Linked DNA regions of Drosophila melanogaster. Changing the gene in region 1 together with any one later gene gives a genetic interaction. Each region holds a gene or a part of one and is shown on either strand. Other genes may lie near its edges.

What was found.
Region 2: of Scm (region 1) and mxc, changing one enhances a phenotype caused by changing the other (phenotypic enhancement), as found in Drosophila melanogaster (2 studies listed by BioGRID).
Region 3: of Scm (region 1) and Pc, changing one enhances a phenotype caused by changing the other (phenotypic enhancement), as found in Drosophila melanogaster (2 studies listed by BioGRID).
Region 4: of Scm (region 1) and w, changing one suppresses a phenotype caused by changing the other (phenotypic suppression), as found in Drosophila melanogaster (4 studies listed by BioGRID).

What each region holds. Positions count from the first base shown.
Region 1 is NT_033777.3:9,632,485-9,639,729, reverse strand, and holds Scm (Sex comb on midleg), read left to right. Parts: upstream 1-2,118; 5' UTR 2,119-2,574; coding exon 2,575-3,120; intron 3,121-3,178; coding exon 3,179-4,096; intron 4,097-4,161; coding exon 4,162-5,193; intron 5,194-5,254; coding exon 5,255-5,392; 3' UTR 5,393-6,371; downstream 6,372-7,245. Other genes in the region: SpdS (spermidine synthase), read right to left, coding at 6,624-7,245. UniProt on the Drosophila melanogaster protein: Polycomb group (PcG) protein. PcG proteins act by forming multiprotein complexes, which are required to maintain the transcriptionally repressive state of homeotic genes throughout development.
Region 2 is NC_004354.4:9,237,325-9,245,787, reverse strand, and holds the start of mxc (multi sex combs), read left to right. Parts: upstream 1-2,320; 5' UTR 2,321-2,583; coding exon 2,584-2,629; intron 2,630-2,687; coding exon 2,688-2,855; intron 2,856-2,918; coding exon 2,919-3,093; intron 3,094-3,162; coding exon 3,163-3,463; intron 3,464-3,567; coding exon 3,568-7,534; intron 7,535-7,596; coding exon 7,597-8,299; intron 8,300-8,373; coding exon 8,374-8,463. Other genes in the region: Larp7 (La related protein 7), read right to left, coding at 65-1,581, 1,642-1,912.
Region 3 is NT_037436.4:21,313,718-21,319,597, reverse strand, and holds the start of Pc (polycomb), read left to right. Parts: upstream 1-1,577; 5' UTR 1,578-1,687; coding exon 1,688-1,801; intron 1,802-2,115; coding exon 2,116-3,174; 3' UTR 3,175-4,292; intron 4,293-5,880.
Region 4 is NC_004354.4:2,789,993-2,798,597, reverse strand, and holds w (white), read left to right. Parts: upstream 1-2,131; 5' UTR 2,132-2,289; coding exon 2,290-2,361; intron 2,362-5,469; coding exon 5,470-5,743; intron 5,744-5,817; coding exon 5,818-6,472; intron 6,473-6,533; coding exon 6,534-6,849; intron 6,850-7,052; coding exon 7,053-7,184; intron 7,185-7,254; coding exon 7,255-7,869; 3' UTR 7,870-7,999; downstream 8,000-8,605. UniProt on the Drosophila melanogaster protein: ATP-dependent transporter of the ATP-binding cassette (ABC) family which transports various molecules including bioamines, neurotransmitters, metabolic intermediates and second messengers.

The DNA.
Region 1 (7,245 bases):
CCATTTATATCACATTGCTATCCACATTGTACACACAGCCAGATAAGCAATTTATAATTTGGGACCCCCCAAACTTTTCATGCCATCTACATCAACTAGTTTGGCTAGCCCACGCATCACTCAAAAAAAGCAACAGTGTTGCCAGCATTCGCAATTGTCCTGCGTCCTTGGGCGCGTTGATCACCCACTTTGACATACTTTTTAATTGCTTGGAACACGTGTCTTCGCCTTTTATGTATGCAGAATGTGCATGCGTCGGCTTGTAATTAAGCACGTAGGCAAACGCCTCCATTTCCTGCCCAGCAGGATGCTTTATGGCTGATTGAATTCCGTCAAAATGCCACTCCCGCCAATTTATACGTGCTTTTATGCGAGCTGTAATGCTGTTTTGGTAGTGCGAGGCAATTTTAATTTACTTTTAATTTTTAATAGAGCAACTAGTAAAGTCTAGCTACTTGCCTGATTACTTTTGCTTAGGGATTCAAGAAGGAAAGGATATCCATAAGGGTGTAAGATGCAACCTTGTACTTGGTTCTGTACACCCATTAATGAATATGCTTATTAAGTTCAATCCCCACTCCAGTGCCCACTCGGAGCCAGAAATTTCTTTTGTCCAATTTGCGTAACAAGTCAATGACTCAAGAACTCGTCTCTGGACACCCCTTTTTCTAATAGCCCATCAAGGATTTGACAGGCGACTAAACGGTAAACGGGCATTTAATGAGGAGCAGAAAAGGCAGCCGCCTCATTTCATCCAATTATCCTTGTTATGGGCAGCCGATGGTCCCATCCAATTATGCGCGATTTGACGATTGTGTGAGTGTCAGGGAACTTGGTTTCGGTCAAGTTTAATCATTAATAATTAGGAATGTCTTTATTGATTATTAAAGAGGGACATCACGCCGCCTTCAAAACATTCAATTAACAGTGTTATCAAGTTTTTCGACCGCAATATTTGGCTTCCAGTTGGTTATCTTTGAAACGCGACTAAGTGAGCGGATTATTCTTTGAAGCACATCAATTAAATCAAGTTACGGACCATTTAGGCAAAGCGAACAAAAATCAAACAGCAGCAGAAGTTAGCCAAAAAGTTTGACCAATATACATTTCGGCTAATCCCAGAAAAGTTTTTCCAACTTGTTTCATCTTTGAGCCGCTTTCGACTTACTGAATTTACTGCAAACGAAACACACTTATGTAATTTCTAGTAATTTGCTAGACTTCTTGACATTTGCGACGCTCTTCAGCAAATAAAATTAACGAAAGGTAAGCAAGTAATATTAATTTGCTTGACCTAATAAAGCCTTAGGCCAATCGTATAAGCCATTATTTTGATAGTAACATATTTTTGTATTTCAGTATTGATTGTTTCATGGTTTTGGTAATTACGAAAACCGCTTTCCTATGTTATACATGATTTTATTAAAATATCAAAACTTTCCCTTGTTCAACCCATTTTCCACTATCTGAACCGCTTTATTGCGAATTTCTCCCAGTTCAATGGAAATGTTTACATACCAGAGCGTTCTATAAATTGGTAGATATTAGTTTTGTTGACTAACCCATTTTTTTTTTTTTGATTTTCGGCTGATGTGTGCCGTGCGCTTTCAAATTTACAGACTTTTTATATTATTCACCAATTTACGCCCACTTGATGCTGTGCAAATTTGATTCACGAGCGTTTTGTTAGTTTTACTGGGAAATACTATGAGCTGATATTAAAACGTAGGAATTCGGTTATAAGTTTATATTCTCAAAACCAAAACGGTTCAGTTTACTAGACTAAATAGTTTTTACATTACGCTGTACAATTTTTGACAGGAAATCCAAATTTCTTTTCTATAATAAGGGCTTACGTTTTTAAAAATGACAAATATTTATTTATATTAGCAGTTAAATTAAATACAACATTGTGGTAAAAGTATTGAGCATTATCTACTTTGCTCTTTAAATTGACTATTTATTGTCAGTTATGTGATTTCCCATTTAACGTTATTTTAAAATTGCATTTAGTTGCTTCGATAACATTTTTCGATTAGTCACATTAGTTGATTATTTTCATCGCTTCGTGAGCTGTCACAGGTAAGCAACTATCGATATGCGCAAAGATCTGAATGTCACCACTAGAAAAACAAATATGGCGGAACCGAGCGTAAAAGTAAAAAAAGTCTAACATTTTGGAGTTTAAGCGACTCAAAATCATCTAATTTCGGATTGAAACCGAGTAACAAGATCCGCGCAGCGCTCTAAATATAAAGCTCGATATTTGGTGAACCAGAAACTAATTGTGCGGCTCGCGTTTGTTTTCGTTGGGTGATGCGATGCGATTTGGCCACCAATTTGTTATTACGTGACCTCAAGAACGCCGCAAAATTTCGCCAGGCCAAATCGAAAGAAATCGGAAAGTTAGTGCTGCAAAACAAAACTTGCTATTGGTGGCTAATGATTCAAGGCAGCCGCAATGCGATTTGACCGCCGGATCGGAACACACGAAATCGAAATCGCCTGAGATGCCAAGGGGCTTGCCGGCGCGAATCAGCAAGTGCGACTACTAGGACAGCCACGCGAGAAACCATGTCGGGCGGACGTGATAGCAGTACCAGTAGCGGGAGCAATTCTGCTGCGCCAGGGGCCAGTACGAATGCCACCTCCTCCGCATCCGCATCCGCCTCCTCCACATCCACATCCGCATCCCCTGGAAGTACAACATCGCCCGCGTCCACGCAACGGCAACGAGGTAGACCGGCCAAACGAGCCACATGCACCTGGTGCGGCGAGGGCAAGCTACCGCTGCAGTACGTCCTGCCCACGCAGACCGGCAAGAAGGAGTTCTGCTCGGAAACATGCATTGCCGAGTTCCGCAAGGCGTACAGCAAGGGGGCGTGCACCCAGTGCGACAACGTCATCCGCGATGGGGCGCCCAACAAGGAGTTCTGCTCGATCATGTGCATGAACAAGCACCAGAAGAAGAACTGCTCGACCAGGCACAGCGGCGGATCGGCATCGGGCAAGGGTCTGGCGGAAAGCGAGCGCAAGTTGCTGGCCAGTGGAGCGCCCGCACCAACGGGGCCCTTTCAATACGAGAGCTTCCACGTCTTCGACTGGGATGCCTATCTAGAGGTAAGTCAAGCTGGGATAATGCTTTAACCCCCAATCTCATACTTTTTGTGGTTTCCAGGAAACGGGTAGCGAAGCTGCTCCTGCAAAATGTTTCAAACAGGCTCAGAATCCTCCCAACAATGATTTTAAAATCGGAATGAAGCTGGAGGCTTTGGATCCGCGCAACGTCACTTCCACCTGCATTGCCACCGTGGTCGGAGTGCTTGGCTCCAGACTGCGGCTACGCCTGGATGGAAGTGACTCCCAGAATGACTTTTGGCGGCTGGTCGATTCTACGGAGATCCATGCTATTGGACACTGTGAAAAGAACGGTGGCATGCTGCAGCCGCCTCTGGGATTCCGCATGAACGCATCCAGCTGGCCCGGCTATCTGTGCAAGATCCTCAACAATGCCATGGTGGCGCCAGAAGAGATCTTCCAGCCAGAGCCGCCAGAGCCAGAAGAAAACCTGTTCAAGGTGGGCCAGAAACTCGAGGCTGTCGACAAGAAGAACCCGCAGCTCATCTGCTGTGCAACAGTAGATGCAATCAAGGATGATCAGATCCATGTAACATTCGATGGTTGGCGAGGGGCATTCGACTACTGGTGCAATTACCGATCGCGTGACATTTTTCCCGCCGGCTGGTGCGCTAGAAGTTGTCATCCCATGCAGCCACCGGGCCATAAATCGCGCATGGACTCCAGCTCTAGCAAACAGCGATGCCCTCGACCCCGCTACACTGTTGTAGCTGAGTCCGAGGCTATGGTTCCCGCTTCCCCTGCCACAGCCCACTTCCATCCGAACTGCAAGGGCGGTCCGTTCATCAACAATTCCAAACTGCCCTGCATGGTGACGGGACCCACCTACCAAACGCTGGCCAAGCTTTGCCTGCAGGAGGTTTTAGCTGCCAGCACGGATACGCAACAGCTCTCAAAGTTGCTGTTTGCCCTGGAAGGAGATGTTCATATCGTGACGGCAGCGGGGAAAAATTTCACAGTGAGTTCAAGATCAATTAAATTCAATGAAAAGCATGTTTAAAATATACTCTTCGTTTCTTAAAGGTAAAAATACCATCGCCAATGCGAATGAAGGATGACGAAAGCCTCGCCCAATTCATCGAAACGCTGTGCACTACATGCCGGGCATGTGCGAATCTCATTTCCTTGGTCCACGAGACGGAGGAGTGCAAGAAGTGCGCCAATAGTCGGAAGCGTCAACTGACTCAGTCAGCCACACCGCCTTCCTCGCCAGTGCTCGCCGACAAGCGAAACCGTCAATCCAACTCGGCAACGACATCACCCTCTGAGAAGATTATCAAGCAGGAATTGGCTGTCAAATCGCCAGTGGAGTCCAAGTCGAAAACTTCGACGAACAATGGCAAGGAGCCTGCAAGCCAGCAAAACAGCAATCACAGTCTCAACAATAACAACAACAGTGCCAGCAAGTCCAGCAACAAGGTGGTCATCAAATCGGAGCCCAACGGAGCGAACGCGCAGACTTCCTCCACAACGCAGGCTCTGCGCAAAGTACGCTTCCAACACCACGCAAACACGAATACGAATAGCTCTGCGACAAACGGAAACCAGGATACGAGCCAGACCACGCACGTATCTACCAGCCATTGCAGCAGCTCGTCAACGTCGTCCAGCACGAGCCTAGCCGGAGGATCGGCGAACACCAGCACAATTGGCAAATACCTGGCACCTCTTGTGGCAGAAGTTCATCCAGAGCAGGCCAATGTAAAGCCCTCGAATAGCTACTACAAGAGTCCGACGACGCTCTCGTCAAGCGCCTCGTTGCCGACATCCGTGTCCACGCCGTTCACGGGCTGCCAGTCAGCCTCGTCCACTGCACTGGCTGCAGGTGGAGTTACAGCGGCTAAGGCGGCCACCGCGCCGGCTGGAGCAGCGGCAACTGCGGGAGCTTCTCCGAGCTACACCGCGATTACCTCACCCGTGAGCACGCCCACTTCTGCTTTGGCAAACTCACATCTGCGGTCGCAGCCGATCGACTGGACCATCGAAGAGGTGATCCAGTACATCGAGAGCAACGACAACTCCCTTGCAGTTCATGGTGATCTCTTCCGAAAGCACGTAAGTAGTAGCTATTACCAATTACCTTAAATAAAGTAACTTATCTAATTTTCGTCTGTAGGAAATCGATGGTAAAGCTTTATTATTGCTAAATTCAGAGATGATGATGAAGTACATGGGCCTGAAGCTAGGACCAGCCTTAAAAATCTGCAATTTAGTCAATAAGGTCAATGGTCGTCGAAATAATCTGGCACTCTAAACAGAAAAACATTAAGTTTCAGGCAGCGGACTCGGTTCGGGTTTGACTTATATAGAAATTGTTAACAAATTAGTACCTCCCTTTAACGTAAAGCAAAGCAAACATGAACGATATTCATAGATGTGTTATGTGTTGGCCATTCATGAAGAAAAAACCCCTACCCTATTTTATTATATTGATAATATAAAACACGCTATAACAAATGTAATCGCGAAGACATGAAATTCCCTATACAAAATCAATCGCATAACAAATTATACACAGTCAAGCTCCGGTTTTCAAAACCATTATTATTAATTTTTTTCCAACTGCTCGTGATTCTTTTTTTGGAATACACATTTACAAATTGATTTATTTAGACAAAATTATTATACTTGAATTAGGAATTTTTATAGGTTTATTCAAATTTACCCAGTCAAAGGAGTGGAGTATTCGTACACACACAATAATTAGTTTATCCATCTATTTCGAAAAATGTGAAATAGTTCTCAATTGGACACAAAATGATTCGACTTTTTCGAAAACTGGAGCTCGGCTACCAAAATCGCAATGCACATACATTATATTTATTACACATAAAAACACGCACATTAGACACCAAAATCTATCCGACACAAAAGAAATGATAATTAACTTTAGAATAGGCGAGAAAATAAAAACCAATATTAAATGATTGTACATATTTTACATCTAATTTTGTAATTATGTATCAATTGCGTTTCCTAACTATAACAATATTTAATTAGTCATTAAACAGGTTGAAGATTTAATTTCTATTAAGTTATTGAAATTGAATATCAGTTTTTAGTTAATTATTCACATGCAGTTAAGGTCATTTTTGCATATAAGAAACGCTTCCTTTCAAAGTTTTGCAATATATGCGATATATAAATGAGAGTAACATTCGGTCGTGTAAAATATTGCAATAAGTCTCATTATGTTAACCCAGCATCCACTTACAAATACAAAAATTAAATAGAGCCAACTGTATATATCATTACGTAATAAACATTACAATTTGTTCTATTTTCAACAGTAAAATAACTGAAAGATGGTAGTCGGATTGGAAGGAAAATACTCAGGCTACAAAAATTCGACTAAAAATGAATCATTGCAAGAGTCAGCATTTGTTGAAAATATCCAAGAATTTAAGAAGCGATGATAAACAAGTCATATTATTATCATATTTATTTTTAACAAACAGATACACACGAATCTTTCCGCAACCTGGTCATTCGTAAAAGTGCTTCTGCACCCATCGAGGCAAGGCAAAGGCGGCGGAGTGAACCTCGGAGGAGTAGTACCTTAGGTCTATAGAATCGATTTCGGACTTTCCAAGCTTGGGAGTAGCGAAGTCCTGGTTTTTGTTCAGGGAGCCCATGACGAAGCCAATGTGGCCGCAGGGATAGGACGGAACGGAGGTGACGGCATAGGCCACCTTAGCAAAGTGCTCCTTGCAGCCGGACATGGTCTTCTTGATGTAGTCCAGGTCCAGCCAGAAGCTACCGCCCTGGGAGCACACGATTCCGTCATCCTTCAGCGCGTGTTTCATTAGCTCGTAGTAGCTTTCCTGAAACAGGCTCACTGCCGGACCAATGGGATCCGAGCTGTCGGTGATGATGACATCAAATTCGTTCTTGTGTTTCTTCATATAGTCGAATCCATCGCCAATGGTAAGCTTCAACTTCTCGTTGGCGAAACCACAGGCCATCGCTGGGAGATATTGCTTGGACAGCTCGACGACACGGTCGTCGATTTCCACCTGATGCACTTCCTCGACCAGTGGATGCTTTACCACCTCGCGAGCAACGCCGCCATCGCCACCGCCCACGATCAGGACCTTTTTGGGATTG
Region 2 (8,463 bases), on another chromosome or scaffold:
ATATAGCTTATATTATAGAGTTTCCTGAAATGAAATCCAAACTCACCCCTCAACTGAAAGTGACTCAGTCCATGGCGGCCGCCTGCACTTCATCATCGCCATCATCAAACTTAATGTGCTTGCCCAGCATTTTGCCCACTTTCTCGCGACCGCGTTTTTGCTGCACGCGCACCTTTTTCGAGAGTTTCGCCTCGCGATCCTGCTCGATTTTTCGCCAATAGAGCGTCTCCTGCTGGCCAGAGAGCACTTTCAGCTGCCTCTCGGAGCAGTTGACCTGGCGTAGCAGTTCCTCGGCTGCGGCAGGCGTGCCCAAACGTAGTAGGGCCACTTGGTCGCCCTCCTTAATATCCACATATTTAATATCCGGATATTGGCGCATTTCAGCCTTAAATTCTTTAACATTGGTGCATGGTTTTAGCAGGGAGCACTCCACAATCAGCCCGGGCTCGTATTTAAAGAGCGGCGTGCGTTCCTGCGAAGGTTCTTCGGATTTGGTGGATTCCACGCCGCCGGCGCCGTAGAAATTCATGTTCATCTTGTGCACCGCCTTGCGACGCTTGGCTGGCACAGGCGCTGCTTCTACGGCACCTTCACCGCCATCGCTAGGGACCTCGCCTCCGGTTTCCTCCTCTTTAACTGCCTCGGGCAGCTGTGAAGGTTTCGGATGGTTTGGATGACTGGTCTGCTGGTGGTGAGGGTGCTGCTGATTTTGTGGGTGATTTTCTCGCCACAGCTTGCTCTTTGCCTCACTGACGATGCGACGCTGTAGATTCAAGTACTTATTGCGCATACTGCTCCAACTAGTCTTGGGTAGCACCTTGAGCTCCAGGGCACTGGGCTCAATGTTTGGCTTGTCCACGATCGCCTTCTTCTTGCGCTTGCGACGGCGCTTTTTGGCAGCTTCATCGCCATCGGTTGCCTCTGTTTTGTCCTCCTGCTCGGAGGCTTCGGCTGTGCCCTCTGCATCCGTTTCACTCGCTGTTTCCCCAGCTGTAGAGGTCTCGCTAGGCTGGCCCTCCTCCAACTTAACCCGTTTCACCTCGTGTATCTCCTCGCGATCCTTGTCGGTGGCCTCCCTTTTTAGATTTCGCTTTGGCAACTCAACCTGTTCAGCCTCTGACTGCGGCTGCTCCGCTTTCTGTTGTATCTGCTGCTGCTGCTGAAAGGAGCGCACACTGGCCAGATCACTGGGATCGGTTTCTACGGACAAAACGCCCTGTATCTGGGCAAAAGCCTTCACAGCTTTCTCCAAGGACCCGCTCTTTTCGAACTCGATAAAGGCAAATTCCTTGATCTTCTTAGTGCCCGGATAGTGGGGCAGGGACACGTAGGCCACCGGTCCGTAGCGGCTGAATACCTCCTTCAGCCAATCGTGAGTGGCATTTGCAGGCAGGGCCTCTACATACAAGGTTTTGTCGTTGACATCGCGCTGATCTGGTAGCTTGGTACGTCGCTTGACCTTTAGTTCGGTCTCATCCAGCTCCAGAAGCTGGGAGTTGCTTAGTGCCTTGGCTATCTGCTGCACATCCTGGGTGAGCGTCTTTATCTTATTGAAAGTGAGAAAGATTTCCAATGGTACATCTGTAAAAGAATAACATGATCAGTGTTATGTTGGCTGGTGAGCCAACCTTAGCTACTCACATGGATCCTGCTCTACGTAGCGCCGAAGGAAGCGATCCTTGCTCAAGTTGGCGTCACCGAAGTAGAATTCCATTTGACCGCGAATCGAATTGAACAAATGCCTCTTCCTTTTGCGTCCACCATCCTTTTTATCCGGCGATGCGTCTTCCGGCGCCGGTTCTTTGGAATTTTCCTCAGCTGGTTCAGTGGGTGCGGCTGGATCGGGTTTCTCCGCTGATGTCGCGGGCTCCTGACCCTCGCCCTTCTCCTTCTCGATACTCTTGGCAGCCATTGAGTGCCAGTTAACCAGTAATCTAAGTCACTCGAATAAAATATTGCACTTGGTTTTTGCGTTCTGATCTATTTGGCAACGCCGTCTAGTTATGAATTGCTGGGATGCCAGGTATTTGCAGCATTCCCATATCGATAGTTTAACGAATATCGGATTCTAAGTACTGTAACGTACACATAAAAACGAATTGAAGCAAGACCATCAAAGCAATAAAAACTGCTATAATTTGTTTTAAGCGAAAGAGACGTATTTCTTTGCTTTAATTATTACCATTATTTCCCACGCTCCTAATAAGGCTTGGCAGCCAAGCGCAAACAACGGGACTATATCGATAGTTCGGCGCTGTGGCAACCCTACTGCGTTGTTTTGGCGGGCGGCAAAAAAAACACAGATGCTATGCTAACCTATGTGTGTTGTACAGTGCGCCGCTAGAATCGGCAACAACAAAACGAAAATAGTCGGCGAATAGGCGAGAAAATGGTTTATTCTCTCTCGAATTAAAGCGCTGATTCAATTCCGACTAACTATTGAGTGATTAAACCTGCAACAGTCAATAATAAGGCATTACAAGTGCGTTCGATAAACCTAAAGTCTTGCAAGCGAAAAAAAAAAGAAAGGCAAGGCGAAAAGCGAGTGGATGGTGACGCTTAGCTGAGTCGGAAAGTCCAGCCATGGAGTCGATTGTCCTGCATTCGGACGTGGCTCGCTTGGTCCTGGGTAGGTTTTCCCTGGACGCTTTTCTAGCTCGCAATATTTATGCTCTTCCATTTTGTAGGCTACCTAGTCAACCAGAATCTAAAAAGGGCCGCACACACTCTGTGTCGCACATCGCCTCACCTGCGCCACGAGTTCCTGGCCCTTAAACAGGGCCTGCAGACGCACAACTTCCTTCACGGGGGTCTGGAGGAGATAATCTGCGAGCATGTCAAGATCACAAGCTTGGGTAAATTAGCACGCTCCTTGCGTTTCTTTTTTTTTGCGGCTGACCGAAAATCTCTCTTTTCAGTGGCCGGTGCCGTGCAGAAGCTGCCGCTGGATATGCGTATGCAGCTGCAGCAGATGAAGCTGTCCGAACGGGTCAGCGAACTGATAGCCGCCGGCGAGAGGAGTAGCTGTACCAATGAAAGCAGCACCCCAGGCGAGCCCACCATATCACAGTCGCATCGCAAGAGAAGGCGCTTGTAATTATAGATTTTTCCTTGACACAAGCACATCGGAATTCTCATTGCTCTCTTACCCCTTTTCCCCAGGCGCACCCATTCTCCCGTGAACAGCATTTCTTCGCCTTCGTTTAGCAAGCGACCGCGTCTGCTGCCGCCACACTTCTACTGCAGCGTTAACCGCGACAAGGTCAGGCAGAGTTTCCTAGGCAGCCAGGATGACTGCGAGGCGGAACTGGACGAAGAGGATGGCGAGAGCACAACGGCCACCGAGGACTTGGAGGAGGATGACTTACTTCCGGCGAATGGTCCTGGTCCGCGCAACAATTCCACGCCGCGCCAAGGTCATACCGAGTCCAATCCACTTCTGCTCACGCCGCAAAGCATGCCTGTAAGTCCATAGACATGCTTAATGCATATCTGCTTAATTAACCAATAGTGCATCTATTATGTATTCTAAACAAAAAACACTCTTTCGATTTACATTGATTTCAGGAACTGGCCTGCGCGATAATTAAGAATCAGGACTTCCAGGAGACGCTGGTAAAGAATATTAACGTAGCGCTGCAGACGGTGACTGTTAACAATCCGTCGGTAAGCTGTGACGCCATGTTGGATGGTCTAGTGAAGAACATACTGGAGGCCACCGAGAAGGATCCCTCGTTCGATCGCATCATACAGGAGGTGGTGATCGGGGATGAACCATTGGCAAATGAGGAGGACCCTGGTGTGTCGCCTGCCTCTGATGCTGCTGGGGCTGCTATTGTTCCCGCTGCTGATGGAGATGTGCTGCCGACAGAACAGGCCGTGGATCCCGTGCCGCCGCAAACACCGCTTATTATTCGCACCGCCGTTGCAGCCACCGCAGGAACCAATGCAGATCCCAATTTCTCCATCTCCAAGCTTATCGTACTGAACTCCAACGAGAGTGTCCAAAAAATGGTTGCTGGTTTGGATACGTCCAATATCAGCTTTACAAGCGAAGGCCTCAATATAAATTTTGCCGATCCAGCGTCAATGCTCAGCGAGGTGGAGGCGACAGCTGCTGGTCAGGTTTGTGTGGACGCCACCACCGGGCAGCTGACGTTTCCCATGTACCTCTCGAACGGTGGACTGCTGTCGCATCTTCCATTCCTGGTGAACAACGAGTGGGTAGCCCAGCAACTTGGGCCGGATGCCTTTGCCAACATTGATGACTCGCACATTGAGATATCGCTGCCGGAGCCGATTACTCTGTCTGCCAATCAGCTGCCCCCCAATTCCATTATCATTAGCAGCGCCCAGAAACAACCACCTCCCCCAAGCGTGGAGCCTCCAGTCCAGTTGATAAAAGATGCAGCCAAAGTGGACAACAAGGCGGGCCAGGGAACGGCGGCAAAAGAGCAACCGATAGATCAACTAGAGGAGGAGCAGCGAAAGTTTCCACCCGCATCCCTGGATTCATCTAGACAAGTCATGGAGAGAGTGACACCCTCGACGTCGGGAATAATTAACGTAAAGGCCTTTCGTAGCTTATCCACTCCCCGAAAGAGAACTTCGCATGTACGAACATTAACTTTTTCCCCTAAGGTTCCTCCTGGTGGCGTCCTGCATTCCAATACGCCGCTGTCCACTAGGCGACCTGGTTTGCTGGCCAAAGCCCAAGAGAAGCCAATTATCAACCATGTGGAGATCATCCAGGCCGCCTGCGACCTGAGCTCAAACGAGGGCCTTGGAGGAGTGCCACCACTCTTCGCCATGGAGGAGTGCAGCAATCAGACGGTGATCAGGGCCCATCCTCCAGCTGCCGCTCCGTCAGCAGCTCCGGTTCCTCCGTTGGTGGCCACGCCCAAAAGAAAACAGAAGCGACAAGCAGCGGTCAAGGCCTGCAAGCGAATCATCTCCCAGGCGGAATCGGAAACCAAGACGGATAAGGATCAAAAGAAAATTATGCCCAAAAATAACTCTGCCTGCAGCGCATCGTCGACCGCTCACGATGACAGCGCCGAGGCCAGCAAAGAGAATCTCCAGGAGCAGCAGAAGATTGAAGGAAAGCCAGATGTAGGCTCCGCCGCCAGAGGAGACGCAGTTGTAGATAACGATATGGCCGCCTGGCAGCGCCAGTTGCATGGCTCCAATTCTGACCTTGAAAATCGGCTGCGTGAGATTAACTCCAAGCGCGAGGAGGTAAAGGCCTCCGGCCGCTCGAGGCGTCCAAAGAAGAAAGATACACCCACTTCAGCTTCGTCGAGAGCACGAAAGGCTCCAATGGTCAAAGCGAAGGCGGAGCCCATGAATCTGGCAAAGAAACCGCAGCGCAGTGTTGGGGATTCCACTGAGAAGATCAACATCAAGATTATCACTCCTCAGAAACCAAAGCTCCTGAAGAAAAAGAAGGTGTTTGAGGCAAAAGAAGAAATCATAGACGAAACCATAGAAGAAACCATAGACGAAACCCAAGCGGAGATCGAGGAAAAGGATCAGAAGAAGAAAAGTGAACAAGGATGCATATATGCAAAGGATCAGGAGCAAGCGAAGGCCTTAGCGGCAGAACTGTCGCGACCCAACATGGCCATGCTTCTGGACACTCCGTTTAAAGCATCTCCCATTGGAGCAGGAGCAAGCGGAGCCGTAGAAGATGACACCACATCAAAGGAAGCTGGTGTTGGTGTAGCCGCTATCATCCCACCCACGCCAGGAATGGCCATTCCACCTCTGGACACGCCATATGGCAAGTTGCCCAGTAGCAGCTTTCTCTTTGGTTCGGATACCAAAAGTATTATGGATACGCCCCAGTTGAGTGCCATCACACCTGGATTTCGCTTGACACCTTTTGGACAGATGCCCGGTACTCCGATAGGCAGTGCTGCCAAGACTGAGTACTCTTCAGGCAGTTCCTATTATCGTCCGGATGAAGCGGAACACACCGATGCGAATGCGCAGTGCGCAATACAACAGTGGGGTGATCCGCAGGATAAGAAACAACCCAAGGTTCGGTCAACGCCCAAGAAGAAAAAGGTTGAGGCAGAGGATGAGCTTTCGCAACAGAAGAATCAAGAGCTAATAGAAATGGAGTGTTCAAAGAAAAGCCTTCATCCGGAGGACAAACATGCTGAGGACAATAAGAAAACACCGAAAAGACCAGAGAAGCCAATGGATGAACATCTGAAGGAAACTGAAAACGATGGTGAAAAGAATGAAACGGTTTTAGAAAAGACACCAGATGCTGTGAAGCAACCCGTTGTCCTGTCCTTGGAGCCCACCGTCCTTCGACGCGTTCGATCCTTTGGCAGTGAGGCGGTGGACAGTGCGGAGTCCGCTACAGCTGGCTCATTTCCCTCCGATCAGCAGCAGCTTCCGCACTATAAACTTTTGCCTGGCCTGCCCGAGGCAATTATTGAAGGATCTAGTAATTCTAGCTCCTCGGCAACCAGTTCATCGTCCTCATCCAGTTCGAGCTCAAGCTCCTCCAGTAGTTCATCATCGAGTTCCTCATCCTCGTCAAGTTCTCACAGCGGAAAGGGGGAAAGCAGAGGGGAAGAGGCAAATGGCGAGAATGCCGACGAAAAGTGCAGCAAGAAAAAGGAGATGCTACTAAACATAGATAACTTATCGAACATTAGCAGCACGGAAGACGAAGAGTGGCTGAAGGCAGCCGGTTCTGAGGATGCAGTTCTGCCCATGCTTGCTATCGACAGTCAGCCAGGTCAGTTAGTTAGCCAGGACGGGGAGGTCCGCTATCCTATCCGGAATTGGCTGACACCAAGCAAAGAGCAGGCCCAGGAGACGGATACCAGTGGAGAACAGCAAACAAAACCTACACCTCCTAAACCGGTGGCTGCTCCTGTTCCGCCTCCGCCGCTTCCTCTAACACCGCCAGCTGCTCCTCCGCCGCCTCCACCGCCTCCGCCAGAGGCGGACGATCCTTCATCCGTCGCTCTTCCAACGGCCTCTACAAGCCGTCAGGAACACCAACGCCAGCAGCTGAATGAAAAACGCCAACGTGTAGTGGCCAAGTTTAAGGAGCAACCCCAACCGATCAAAGGTCAAGGGAGAAAGACTGCCAACAAGAAGCTCACTGCAATGCGTGAAAATGCCAAACTGGCCAATCCAAGCAGTCAAAAATCGCCAAAAAATCGAAAGCACATCGAACCACTGAAAACAAAAGCAGCTAAAAAGCAAATAGAACCAAATCCGAATGTTAAGTCCACAGAGGCTACTGGTCCGCCAGTCGGTGCCGCCACAGATGCGCCAGCAGATCCGCCAGCCGGCAAATTGGATCCCGCTCTGCTCATGGCCCTCAATCTATCTGCGAAAAAACAGGAATCATTACCGATTGTAATCAAACCAAAGGTAAATCGAGCAGCGGTTGAAATTGCGGCACAGCCTGCCCCTGGAAAACGTGGACGCCCGAAAAAGGTACAGAACGGGGAGCCAGCCAATCTCTGTATGCGACGATCCTCGCGCCTAGTCGAAAATAAAAGTAAGTAGTTAAGATCCAATCGAATGGGTATTGAAACTAATATATTGTCTTTGCAAAACTAGCTCCTGCTCCGGAAGATCTCTCCAAATCCACTGAAGGAGCAAAGACGAAGACCCAAATCAAGGCAAATACCAAGAAACCGGCCAAGAAACGTGTCGAGGCAAGGGTACCCTCCTCCACAACCGATGCTCCGGCACTGCCCATTGTAGCGGAGGCGGAATCCACCCAAAAATCTCCAAAGCAAAAGCCGCAAATTCAGCAAACAATACAAGAACCTAAACAGGATCCACCGCCATCGAAATGCGATTCGGAGCCCGATGACAGCGACTTCGAGCAGGACATGTGCCTGAGCAGCAGCCAGGAGCGTTTTACCTATAATTTCACATATGCGGACAACGGACCAAAGTCCAGCAATCCGATGATACGTCAGCCATCGAGCTATTTCAAAAGCTATCAGATGCGCTTGATGACCGATGACGAACAGCTGCATACGCTGCGCATAGCCAGTGCCCAGGTGCTCTGTCTGGGCCAACCGGTGGCCAGCGCCATTCGCAATATACCCAAGAAGCGGATACGCCGCCTGACCGGCAATAGTGGCGGGACAGCGGCAACAGGGGGAAGTGCAAGTGTAAGTGGAGGAAGTGGAACGGGAGCGGAAGTTGCTGCTGCTGGCGAACAGCCTTCGGCCACGTCTACGCCGCTGGTGGAGAAGCCCCCATCCAGGAGTGGGCCGCAAGATGAGGAAGATCTGGAGGTGGCCACCATGTAAGTGGTGAACATATGCATTTTATTTTTTGTATGCTTATCATAATAATAATACCGTTCTTTAATTCATGCAGCAATTCAGCTCCGATAGCAGCGAACAGCAGCAGCGGAATTGGCGGCGAGGAGACACCGGAGAACTCTGCGCAGCAGAAGGAGCTGCAGAG
Region 3 (5,880 bases), on another chromosome or scaffold:
AAATAACCGGAAGTTTTCGTTAAGCTGTGTCTCTCTTTTGTTACTTTCTCTTTGCGATTTTGACACTTGGCATTGCTTCTCCCAATATAACTGTAACTGGCTAGCTTTTATCGCCTCTCATAGTTTTGACGTTTTCTCTGAGCTTTCTCTCATCGGCATTTCCGAGTTTTCTCTTTATGACTTTGACATTTACCGTTGTCCGTCGCTCCCGTCCGGTTGTGTGGCACGTTTTTCTGAATGAATCCGCTATTCGGGGCTTTCGCCTGGAGATGGGGTGGTTTGCCGTTGCTATTATTATTTCCTATATGCTATAAGCTTAATATTTTCGCCAGCCTTATCAGTTGGCCAGTTTTCCTAATCGCTATTCGTTAGTTTTTCGCTCCGTACAATTGAACTAGGTATTGGTTTTTCCCCTTTTTTGTTCGGTTGTTTGGTTGCTTGGTGTTTTGTTTGAAGCCACTAATTAAATATCATCTATGTAAATTGTAACTAGCTAAACATATTGACTAATATTTTATAGGTTATGCGCTAATTGGTGCTGTTTTCACTATGAATTAAACATTAATCTATTTATAGGGTTCGCAACAATTTGCTTGGTGTTTTTCTTTATGTTTTGGTTAAAGCTTTTGGTTAATTTCTCGTTTTCGTCGTTAAGTGTGAAGATTCTCCATGCGTTTCGCGTCCCTCGTCGAAAATATTGCGATTGATTTCAAGGGAATGGGTGTTATTTCAGTTGTTGGTCTTGGTGTTGTTGTTATTTCACTATCACAGCATAAATAAAATAATGTCATCGTCGTTGCCGCCCCCGCCACGCGAACCCTCGGCCAACATACAACTGGCATAAAATATCTGCAGTCGGCCACTTCCTTTCACATCCATCCTGAGCTTTCGGCGCTCTTGTGCTTTCTCACACTCTCTCCCGCACTTTCTCTCCCTCTTGAGGATGTGGCATTTGAAGAGTTCGAAGAGGGTAACTAGTTCAGTTGTAATCAAGTTAATTATCAAACTTAATTGAATAGGAATATGGGGCGAAGTATATGTGGCAATTTGTGATACAATAAGTGAAGCAGGACAAAGGAAAATCAAAACTCAATATGGGATGAAAGCAACACAACGATAAACGTTAACGAAAGTATAATATTTCGTTACCTGGAATTCAATTCAACATGCAGTTTAAAAAGAATACTGTACAAAGGATTCATTAAAAATGCGCTTATTAAAATTTGATTAAAAGCTATTTTATATTTAAGCTAATTGGTTTAACTTCTCGCCGGTTTAGTAATTTGTAGAAACGATAAAAGAAAATAGTGTATAAGGCAACAGCGCCAAAAAAATGTTTTCTAAAACATTTATATACCCCATTTATAAATAATAGAAAAATGTCAAGAAATTCTGAAAATATTTTAACAAAACATTTACATTTTAAAAACGCACAATTAGGTGTGTCTAGTCATCAAAGTTTTGAGTCTTTGCTAATTTTGCCAGGAAAGGGTGTGCGACACGGCTACTTGCTAAGATATGATCCCAGTTCTTTGTAGCACGGTAACTCTGCACCTCGCAGCACTATCGATTGTTTACATGAAAATAATCGAGTCGGACGACTATCGACGTACGCAGAATTGTAAACCAGAAGTTAATTGCAAATAAAACGAATAATAAAACGTTCCGAGAAGATTATTAATTAAAAATGACTGGTCGAGGCAAGGGGAGTAAGGGGAAGTTGGGGCGCGACAATGCGACCGACGATCCAGTCGATCTAGTGTACGCGGCTGAGAAAATCATCCAAAAGCGCGTTAAGAAGGTGAGATGAGCGTAAACAAATTCGAAAAAGGCGACCAAAACGGGATGCTCCGCTAAAAATGGCAAATGCAATATGCGCAGCACACGCAGGATATATGTATAGTCCACAAGGTCACATGTCCTTCGACATTTTTTGGCCAGAGGACATCTGCTGCTGCAACCACCATTTGCACGATGCATGTGTGTGTGCGTAGTGCGTTCGTATGTGTGTGTGTGTGTATGTGAGGCGTGTTTTTGTTTCGCTGAATGGAAAATCAATTAGTTGTCTAAGAAAATGCAATCCACCCCCACTCCTTCACTTACTCGATTTTCCAGGGCGTCGTGGAGTACCGTGTCAAGTGGAAGGGCTGGAACCAGCGCTACAACACCTGGGAACCGGAGGTAAACATCCTGGATCGCCGCCTCATCGACATCTACGAACAAACGAACAAATCCTCCGGAACTCCCTCCAAGCGAGGCATTAAGAAGAAGGAGAAAGAACCCGATCCGGAGCCGGAATCCGAGGAGGATGAGTACACCTTCACCGAAAACGATGTGGACACGCATCAAGCCACCACCTCATCGGCTACCCACGATAAGGAGTCGAAGAAGGAGAAGAAGCACCATCACCACCACCACCATCATCACCACATCAAGTCCGAACGCAACAGTGGACGGCGCTCGGAATCTCCGCTGACCCACCATCATCATCACCACCACCACGAGTCCAAGCGTCAGCGCATTGATCACAGCTCCTCCTCGAACAGCAGCTTCACGCACAACTCATTTGTCCCCGAGCCGGACAGCAACTCCTCCAGCTCCGAGGATCAGCCGCTGATCGGCACCAAACGCAAAGCCGAGGTGCTCAAGGAATCGGGCAAGATTGGAGTTACGATTAAGACCTCCCCAGATGGCCCCACTATTAAGCCTCAGCCGACCCAGCAGGTAACTCCCAGCCAGCAGCAGCCCTTCCAGGATCAGCAGCAAGCGGAAAAGATTGCCAGCGAGGCTGCAACGCAGCTGAAATCTGAGCAGCAGGCCACCCCACTGGCCACAGAAGCCATAAACACAACGCCCGCAGAGTCCGGAGCTGAGGAAGAAGAAGTAGCCAACGAGGAAGGCAACCAACAGGCGCCACAGGTTCCTTCCGAGAACAATAACATACCAAAACCGTGCAACAACCTGGCTATCAACCAGAAACAGCCGCTTACTCCTCTTTCGCCGCGTGCCCTTCCGCCGCGCTTCTGGCTGCCGGCCAAATGCAACATATCCAACCGGGTGGTGATCACAGACGTCACCGTAAACCTGGAGACCGTTACCATACGCGAGTGCAAGACGGAGCGCGGGTTTTTTCGTGAGCGCGACATGAAAGGCGATTCGTCGCCAGTAGCTTGAGCTTCGACCCAAACAAATGTCGGGAAAACAAACCGGAAAACTGATACAATTGTAAATAGACAAACCAAAATGCGAGAAAGTTGAGAGAAGAATTATGCAGAGAAATCCACACTAAATGTTGCTAAGCATTTTCTCTTTAGGACTTAACTAATTTATTGTATTTATTTTTAGCGTAGGTTTTAGTTTGTTGTTTTATTACAATGTTTAATGTGCAAGAGTAGTTTAAGCAAGCGCAAGTCGGGTATTTACTAAATGACTTTATATATACATAAATTTTCGCTCATTTTTTTTATCAGCATTGCAATGATTGAATATTTTCCTATTTAAATTAAAAATTTATTTTTCTGCAATATCACTTTTTAAGATTAATCTGGTTGTCATTTAGTGAATAGGCGAAATGCTGCGGCTGCTTAACTTGCCAATGCAATAGATTGTAAAACTTGCAGCGTAGATAAATATGTATGTACATGTTACATATATTTACCACATATTGTATATTTTTTATAACACTTTGAATCTGATTGAAAACAACACAAGACACTCAAATGCTAAGAAAACTCCATGCGAAACCGAAGCAATTGTTGATTACGCTTACAAATATATACAATAGAAGATGCATATATTCGAGTAGTCACCACCACGTTTGCCGAGTTGGCTATCCCAATGTTGTAATTGTTTAATATTATATTTCCTCGCGCCGACTGATTTTACAAAAGAAAACCCCAAAAACATATATACAATTGTAGATTTACAAATATTTTTAGACTTTAGCTAACCAAAATCTCTACGTAATATTTATTTTAACATGTTCTCTTAGCAGTCATTCAAGACTCAAGTGCTGCCTTTATGGGTTCAGAGCGGTGCAGTGCACAGATAATTCCAAATCGAGCCCATAGACTCATTACTTAAATCCTATGTCTATTTCACAATTTTTTTTCACGCTATGAAACAGAAAACTACGTGGGAGCTGCGGGGAATTTACAAACTCCTGCTTATTTCCCATGGGTCCTGTGCGTATGTTTCTATTTGTCTTAGCTCTTTATTGGCTAGTTTTAGTTACGGCGTAAATTCCACACAAAACAGCAATTCAAAGCGTATATTTTAAGCTTTTTAATATAGTTGTAAAGTCCCAAATGAGAAGACTTTACTCGTTGAGTTTTTGTAAGAAACTGATTTTATTTGGAATTATCTTCGGTTTAAATAGGTGACATGAGAATCGCATCTTAAAGTAAATGGCCTACGCAGAGGCCTAAGTAAATAGTCCCCGCCTTATCGAGGTCCCACGCTCGGGCACATCTGCCTATCTTGAGCGGCGAGGACCTTATCTGTGGTCTCCCACTAAGGGACTATTTTAGGAGGCGGGGAACGATCTCAAGTGACTGACTCATGTAGTGTGCACTTAAATTACATGTTTTTGAGCAATGCACCCATGTCGCCTTAGATAACAAAATCCTAAATATAATTTATCGCTCTCGATTCATTTACATAAGATATGAACGGAGCCCAAAATTGTAAGTCTTTAAATATATTCGTGTTCATGTGTGAACATTCTGCCAAAGGGCCAGCAAGCTGAGATGTACATTAGTATATTAGTTGCATTTATAACAGTAGTGGACTGTATTTATTTGATATATGTTCATTTATTTTGCAACTAAGATTTCAATGGGCCTAGTTTTTCTGGCTTTTAATTTTATTGGATTACAATTATGGTTTATATTATTTTTAATTCAACAATTTGTACTCAATTAACTTATTTTAAACATTTTGCTTTTTCTATGTAGAAGTACATTTTCTATTAGTGGACTGTATATTTTTATTTGTTATATTATTTTATTGTTTATTTACTATTGATATTTATAGTACTGGCAACGGACCTGCAAAGGTTATTGCTTGCATTCTTTGTTGCACAGCACATTTCCGTATGAAATATATTATTAATACTATCATTAGTATTAAAGCAATAATTAATCCAGCATGTCCGGAAATATGATGGAAATGTAAATCTTTCAATTTTTGATGGTTCTCTTTCATAAATTTAATTTCATTATTCAATCGTTCAAATTCCTCAGTATGATTTAATATTGATAGTTTCAGCGGATCCCAAATAATCTTCGGCACTCCACTAACTTCTCCTATATAAGGTGTTGATAATAATTCTTCACTTTCGGACTGAATGTTATGGTGGGCAACTAGAATTTTATCGTCGGTTCTTGCCGTACAATATGGCGCAATGCTTAAAACTCCTTGCTGAGGCAAATCAAACAATTCAATTTGAGAGCCAGTACATTGCAGACGGACTTTTGAATTCGCAGGAACCTTAAACAACCAACTACTTTTCTTTTCTAACTCTACCCAGTAACTTTTAGAGTCGACTACTGTTTTATAGATGCAGTTCGCCGCTTTATCTGGCTTTAGAGGCTGAATCTCACATGCATTATCATTCGCTGAATTCCAGGGCCAACTTCCTTTGCATATTCTCTTATTTAGTTGCCATTTCTGACATTGATTTAATGTGGCTTCCGTCATTATGTGATAGGAATCTATCTCAAAATTATAAATTAAATATTCGGACGTTGTATGCACCATTATTATCCGATCTTCATTTCGAATTGGCACCGGAATAAGCCTGAACAATTTGGATGGATGCTGCTAAACAGAGGCACTTTTGCACTAATGATCAATTTATCGTCGATGAATAAACCCCTG
Region 4 (8,605 bases), on another chromosome or scaffold:
TTTACTTTGCAATTACAGCCAACTGAGTGCCTTAGATGAAAGTGGGCGCCGGCTGAGGTTGGTATGAGGGGAGGGGGGGCGTGGCCCTTAGAAAGGGGGACCAAAGCAATGAACTAGAAAGCTGTCTGATTAGCGTGCAGCTAGCAAAAGTTTCTCCACTCACACACACACAAACACATACACAGATTTATTGAGCCCGCTGTCCGCGTCAATAATTTGCATGGGTTAAACGTACAGAGGCAAGAAAATCTGGGGGTTAAGTCAACCCAGACCAACCCCCCCAACCCCCCACCAGACCGCACTTCCTGTGACAATGGCTGGGGACTTACCTTTGCCGATATATATATATATATATATATATATACATATGTATGTAGGTGTGACTGTGCGGAGAGAGTATAAAAGTGTGTGTTGAAAAAAACTTTCTACGCCTCAGTTCAAGTTACTTCCTTTTCGCTTTTCAATACGGTGTTATTGCATTGCATTGTGGAATAGCAAACCAATTTAAAGAATCCCAAAGGTAGGGCAAAAAAAAATGTTCAATTGCAGGGCTAATAAGCAAAAATCAAGTTAAGGCCACTCTAAAAAAAATGAACTGCATACTTATACGTATGCAATTAACTTTATTATTGATTTAGAGCGCATAAAAACGGCAAACTAATTAATTACAGCATTCCCTTAGAGCATTTCATAATCGGTTTTAAGCACTTTTTGTTGTAATGCCATTTTTCAGCTCTTTCGCTGCTGCGACAGGCGAGTGACAATAAATTGTTAAGTGCAAAAAGTTTACAGCATTTGAGTGAGTTAGTAATGGCAAACACACACGAACACGAACTTCAAGACGGTCTAAACCCGATTCGAGCTCCACTCAACCAACATCGAAGAAGCCCCATAAGTGTCACTGAGCGAAAAACTCGGTTAGTTGGCAAAAATGAGTGAAACATTGACGTTTCTTTGTTGTCTGTCGCTAGATCGGCCCACAAAGGAAGTCTCTTACGAATCGTACATACATCTAACTTTGAGTCAGCTAAAGATCTTCAGTGAAATAGGAAAATCATTTATTTCGAACTTTGAAGCTGTTGTAGAGCAGAACATATATGCATTAAAACTGGCACATGAAATAATGTTACTAGTGCTGAGTGAGACTTCTACAAATATCACATGCATATGCATAATTAACTTGCAAATCGAATCAAAAGCTATTATTCTGAGCTAAACTCTCAAAAGAAAACCATATTCATTTGAAGACCACTTAATCGTCGTCAGCAAATTAATTCCTGCAGATTCCTCGGCAACTGCAACTGCTAACCTGTTACCACATCGTCCGTGAAAATGGTATTGATAGCCTCCCGGAAAACCCGTCCCAGTCGAGATCCATATCCTGGACCAACTGGCCCCGATGATGAAGATTGATAATGCCCGGACAGCTGATGGCGGCAGTTCATGATTCCGGGGCCTGAGATGAGGTGCTAACGATGACGACAACGACCGGAGTGTCCGAAGTACGGGTGCGGATAGGCGTACGGGAAACGGGGAGTGCGGAATGCGCATCATCAACAGTCGCCGTTTGATAAATCATGCATGCAAAGTACAGTGCAAACCCCCGAAACGGGACGACAACAGGCGGATTAACAAGAACTCTCTTATTCACGATAAGAAGACGCTTCCCACTCAACCTAATCAGTATTCAAAGACAGCCACTCAGCTTATGAGTACTGCCCAGGTGGGGTACTATCATATTGGTGCAAAGGTGGTCGAATTTTTAATTATTTTGAACGGAACACATTAGCTAAACATAAACATGTTGTCACTAGTATGTATGTAAGTTAATAAAACCCATTTTTGCGGAAAGTAGATAAAAAAAACATTTTTTTTTTTTACTGCACTGGATATCATTGAACTTATCTGATCAGTTTTAAATTTACTTCGATCCAAGGGTATTTGATGTACCAGGTTCTTTCGATTACCTCTCACTCAAAATGACATTCCACTCAAAGTCAGCGCTGTTTGCCTCCTTCTCTGTCCACAGAAATATCGCCGTCTCTTTCGCCGCTGCGTCCGCTATCTCTTTCGCCACCGTTTGTAGCGTTACGTAGCGTCAATGTCCGCCTTCAGTTGCATTTTGTCAGCGGTTTCGTGACGAAGCTCCAAGCGGTTTACGCCATCAATTAAACACAAAGTGCTGTGCCAAAACTCCTCTCGCTTCTTATTTTTGTTTGTTTTTTGAGTGATTGGGGTGGTGATTGGTTTTGGGTGGGTAAGCAGGGGAAAGTGTGAAAAATCCCGGCAATGGGCCAAGAGGATCAGGAGCTATTAATTCGCGGAGGCAGCAAACACCCATCTGCCGAGCATCTGAACAATGTGAGTAGTACATGTGCATACATCTTAAGTTCACTTGATCTATAGGAACTGCGATTGCAACATCAAATTGTCTGCGGCGTGAGAACTGCGACCCACAAAAATCCCAAACCGCAATTGCACAAACAAATAGTGACACGAAACAGATTATTCTGGTAGCTGTTCTCGCTATATAAGACAATTTTTGAGATCATATCATGATCAAGACATCTAAAGGCATTCATTTTCGACTATATTCTTTTTTACAAAAAATATAACAACCAGATATTTTAAGCTTACCATGAAGTCCTCATTTCTTCCACCTTTCATTCTCAAATATTTTCTTGCTACACTACACTACACTACACTACATTATACATCGACCCCAAATAGTTGGATGTAGTAGATCGTAATTAGGGACGCATAACCAGTGGTGGCGTGGGAGGAGTCGGCTTAAGTTGGCCAACAACATTGCTGGGTGTCTATAACTCTAGGCTTGCCAAGATACTAGATACTGTATCCGTATCCATTTCTGGTTGTGTACTCGCATCTTCTACCTGATCTTAATACCTCGTTGTTTGCACGTCTCGCTCGACGAAAAATGTACAATCTAGTCTTATCTGGGTCATTATTTGGCTAGACGAATGCTTTGGGCTCAGCATCTGATATCTAGGTATCTTCGTGCGTATCTTGCTTTAAATTCTTAGCACCTCGGCTTGTATAACAAAATAAATAAGTGAGTACGATTTGCATATCTAGCCCCGGGCTCTTTGAAACAATTTTGAAAAGTCTCAAAAAGTTATACAAGGAGATAAGAACTTTAATTCTTTTGGGAAGTAAGTAACGCAGTAAAGGTAACAAAGTATTGAAAAATATGATATGTATGGAATATTTGAAGCCATCTTTAATTATATGTTCGTTGCATATATGTACATATTGGGCCGTTTACGCTCTGATATTTCCTTAATAATATCGAGTGGTCGTCAGCTTTTCCGCTGAATAATTGCGCCTCCTTCAGTATTTCGTTCTCATCAAAGTGAATGACTTTTGAGTGCACTCATTAGCCACTCGCACAATCGACAAAACGGGAGGAACAACAAATTGAGTCGCTTCTTTATTCAGTCATTTCAATTTGTCAAGTTCATCACGATACTCCTTCGCCTCCCTGCACAGCGCCATCTAGCGCCCACTCCTCGAGTTTCCTTCGTATTTCGTAAGTAATTCAAAAATAGCACGCAAAGTAAATAAAAAAAAAAGTAAGCCAAAAAATTAAATAAATATGAAATGTAGCATCTTTCGCTACTTATTTCAACAAAATACGAAAATAGGGAAAAGGTGGGAGAGTAAACCAGAGGAGGCAGGGAGATAAGAAAACCCAGTGGGAAAGGGACGGCGAAAACAGAAAAGAAAAGAAAACTTTTTAATAACATTTTTCGGCCTCATTTGTTGTGAAAACAATTTCGCCATGTCCCTCTATCTCTTTCCCAGCCATATGGCCATCTCGCTCTGCTCGAGGAGTGCCTGAAAACGGATATTACATTTTTTCGCGTCTACCTCTCGTAACGTCACCAATTGTGCTTTTTTTTTGGTAACAGGCCAAAAACTGGACACTGAGTGGCTAGAAGAATAAGCTGTCAAAGCATCGCAGCAGAAGATGAGCAGTGAAGCCTCGCTAAGGAGGAAATGCAACAGTTTTCAGGCTTTGGTCTTTTAGCTAGATTTTATATGTAGCAATGTAAACGATAAATCCAAATCCCCCAATCGTTTTGAAAAATAAATTTAATTTTAAATAGTTCAAAAAATGAAAGTTCTTAGCAGGGCTCACTGTAGCAAGGACCGCCAGGCGCTGAGTGCAAGGTGGACATTATTTTTTCTTGCTTTTATTGAATGTCAGCTTTTTATTTGGCCCTCTTCTTCGGATTTTGCCTTTCTCATTTGCTTGCATTTTTTTGCTTAATTTTTTTTATGATTATTTATACAAATTATTATGAGAGCAGCGGCGGATAAAATGCTTTCCATATTGTGGCCATCATTTTGTCTTGTTTTTTCCATTTTTTTTTTTTTTTGCCTCGACGCCAATTAGTGGATCCCTGTTATTTATGCTTTGCCGCAGGCCGCTGCGATGGCAAGAAACCCCACAAATGGAAAACGGAAAATTGTTTATGAAAATGAAAATATGCGCGAACGGAAGTGGTATGGGGCGAAAAGTTGGGGCGGGGAGGATGGCTTGATTTGACCATACCGCAAACGTCTTCGGTTACCGCCATTTCGAAAAGGGAAGCCCCACCTGGGCGAAAACTGACAGCTCAGTGGTTTTGGAAATCACTTTACCCGTAAACAAAATAACGTAAATAAGAATTTGTATTTCGGATTTATAAACTTAAACTCAATTGCAGAAGTAGTAGTTTGAACACTATTGCGTTCAACATAATTGGATCAAGTAAATGGACTGCTTTATACTGCTCATTGCACTTATCTACAAGAGATTGAGTTTTCCCACCACCCAAAAAAAGCCAAAGTATCCTTAAAGTTTTATATTTAATAAAAACAAAACTGGCGAAGCTCAAAGTCCCCAAACGAAAGCCAAAGATGCCAGCGATTTACACTCGCAATTGTCTTATGAGGTGGCAACATGGTGGAGGAACCTTGCCACTGCCACCACCCATCGTCCCATCGCCCCATCGTCCATCGCCCAACGACCTGTGACCCCGTCAACCGTCCACCGCCCACTTTCAAGGCCATCCACCAAGTGCCAGCCCTAATTTGCACATTTTAAATAGGCCTCGCCATCTCCTTTTTGGGAAACTTGGAAAACTCGGATCTTGGGCATTTTTATTAAACAGATGGGCTCCTTCTTTATAAAGCCGAGGGGGGGGGGGGGGGTTAGTGCCCGGAAACAGGGACGGCGGAGCAGGGATTGGCCAGGCTGGGCTAGATTTATGCACAGACGCCTTCATTTTTATGGACGAACGCCGTGAAATTGAAAAGTTTTCAGCTTGAAACCTTTTCTAGATGCACAAAAAATAAATAAAAGTATAAACCTACTTCGTAGGATACTTCGGGGTACTTTTTGTTCGGGGTTAGATGAGCATAACGCTTGTAGTTGATATTTGAGATCCCCTATCATTGCAGGGTGACAGCGGAGCGGCTTCGCAGAGCTGCATTAACCAGGGCTTCGGGCAGGCCAAAAACTACGGCACGCTCCGGCCACCCAGTCCGCCGGAGGACTCCGGTTCAGGGAGCGGCCAACTAGCCGAGAACCTCACCTATGCCTGGCACAATATGGACATCTTTGGGGCGGTCAATCAGCCGGGCTCCGGATGGCGGCAGCTGGTCAACCGGACACGCGGACTATTCTGCAACGAGCGACACATACCGGCGCCCAGGAAACATTTGCTCAAGAACGGTGAGTTTCTATTCGCAGTCGGCTGATCTGTGTGAAATCTTAATAAAGGGTCCAATTACCAATTTGAAACTCAGTTTGCGGCGTGGCCTATCCGGGCGAACTTTTGGCCGTGATGGGCAGTTCCGGTGCCGGAAAGACGACCCTGCTGAATGCCCTTGCCTTTCGATCGCCGCAGGGCATCCAAGTATCGCCATCCGGGATGCGACTGCTCAATGGCCAACCTGTGGACGCCAAGGAGATGCAGGCCAGGTGCGCCTATGTCCAGCAGGATGACCTCTTTATCGGCTCCCTAACGGCCAGGGAACACCTGATTTTCCAAGCCATGGTGCGGATGCCACGACATCTGACCTATCGGCAGCGAGTGGCCCGCGTGGATCAGGTGATCCAGGAGCTTTCGCTCAGCAAATGTCAGCACACGATCATCGGTGTGCCCGGCAGGGTGAAAGGTCTGTCCGGCGGAGAAAGGAAGCGTCTGGCATTCGCCTCCGAGGCTCTAACCGATCCGCCGCTTCTGATCTGCGATGAGCCCACCTCCGGACTGGACTCCTTTACCGCCCACAGCGTCGTCCAGGTGCTGAAGAAGCTGTCGCAGAAGGGCAAGACCGTCATCCTGACCATTCATCAGCCGTCTTCCGAGCTGTTTGAGCTCTTTGACAAGATCCTTCTGATGGCCGAGGGCAGGGTAGCTTTCTTGGGCACTCCCAGCGAAGCCGTCGACTTCTTTTCCTAGTGAGTTCGATGTGTTTATTAAGGGTATCTAGTATTACATAACATCTCAACTCCTATCCAGCGTGGGTGCCCAGTGTCCTACCAACTACAATCCGGCGGACTTTTACGTACAGGTGTTGGCCGTTGTGCCCGGACGGGAGATCGAGTCCCGTGATCGGATCGCCAAGATATGCGACAATTTTGCCATTAGCAAAGTAGCCCGGGATATGGAGCAGTTGTTGGCCACCAAAAATCTGGAGAAGCCACTGGAGCAGCCGGAGAATGGGTACACCTACAAGGCCACCTGGTTCATGCAGTTCCGGGCGGTCCTGTGGCGATCCTGGCTGTCGGTGCTCAAGGAACCACTCCTCGTAAAAGTGCGACTTATTCAGACAACGGTGAGTGGTTCCAGTGGAAACAAATGATATAACGCTTACAATTCTTGGAAACAAATTCGCTAGATTTTAGATAGAATTGCCTGATTCCACACCCTTCTTAGTTTTTTTCAATGAGATGTATAGTTTATAGTTTTGCAGAAGATAAATAAATTTCATTTAACTCGCGAATATTAATGAGATGCGAGTAACATTTTAATTTGCAGATGGTTGCCATCTTGATTGGCCTCATCTTTTTGGGCCAACAACTCACGCAAGTGGGTGTGATGAATATCAACGGAGCCATCTTCCTCTTCCTGACCAACATGACCTTTCAAAACGTCTTTGCCACGATAAATGTAAGTCATGTTTAGAATACATTTGCATTTCAATAATTTACTAACTTTCTAATGAATCGATTCGATTTAGGTGTTCACCTCAGAGCTGCCAGTTTTTATGAGGGAGGCCCGAAGTCGACTTTATCGCTGTGACACATACTTTCTGGGCAAAACGATTGCCGAATTGCCGCTTTTTCTCACAGTGCCACTGGTCTTCACGGCGATTGCCTATCCGATGATCGGACTGCGGGCCGGAGTGCTGCACTTCTTCAACTGCCTGGCGCTGGTCACTCTGGTGGCCAATGTGTCAACGTCCTTCGGATATCTAATATCCTGCGCCAGCTCCTCGACCTCGATGGCGCTGTCTGTGGGTCCGCCGGTTATCATACCATTCCTGCTCTTTGGCGGCTTCTTCTTGAACTCGGGCTCGGTGCCAGTATACCTCAAATGGTTGTCGTACCTCTCATGGTTCCGTTACGCCAACGAGGGTCTGCTGATTAACCAATGGGCGGACGTGGAGCCGGGCGAAATTAGCTGCACATCGTCGAACACCACGTGCCCCAGTTCGGGCAAGGTCATCCTGGAGACGCTTAACTTCTCCGCCGCCGATCTGCCGCTGGACTACGTGGGTCTGGCCATTCTCATCGTGAGCTTCCGGGTGCTCGCATATCTGGCTCTAAGACTTCGGGCCCGACGCAAGGAGTAGCCGACATATATCCGAAATAACTGCTTGTTTTTTTTTTTACCATTATTACCATCGTGTTTACTGTTTATTGCCCCCTCAAAAAGCTAATGTAATTATATTTGTGCCAATAAAAACAAGATATGACCTATAGAATACAAGTATTTCCCCTTCGAACATCCCCACAAGTAGACTTTGGATTTGTCTTCTAACCAAAAGACTTACACACCTGCATACCTTACATCAAAAACTCGTTTATCGCTACATAAAACACCGGGATATATTTTTTATATACAAACTTTTCAAATCGCGCGCCCTCTTCATAATTCACCTCCACCACACCACGTTTCGTAGTTGCTCTTTCGCTGTCTCCCACCCGCTCTCCGCAACACATTCACCTTTTGTTCGACGACCTTGGAGCGACTGTCGTTAGTTCCGCGCGATTCGGTTCGCTCAAATGGTTCCGAGTGGTTCATTTCGTCTCAATAGAAATTAGTAATAAATATTTGTATGTACAATTTATTTGCTCCAATATATTTGTATATATTTCCCTCACAGCTATATTTATTCTAATTTAATATTATGACTTTTTAAGGTAATTTTTTGTGACCTGTTCGGAGTGATTAGCGTTACAATTTGAACTGAAAGTGACATCCAGTGTTTGTTCCTTGTGTAGATGCATCTCAAAAAAATGGTGGGCATAATAGTGTTGTTTATATATATCAAAAATAACAACTATAATAATAAGAATACATTTAAT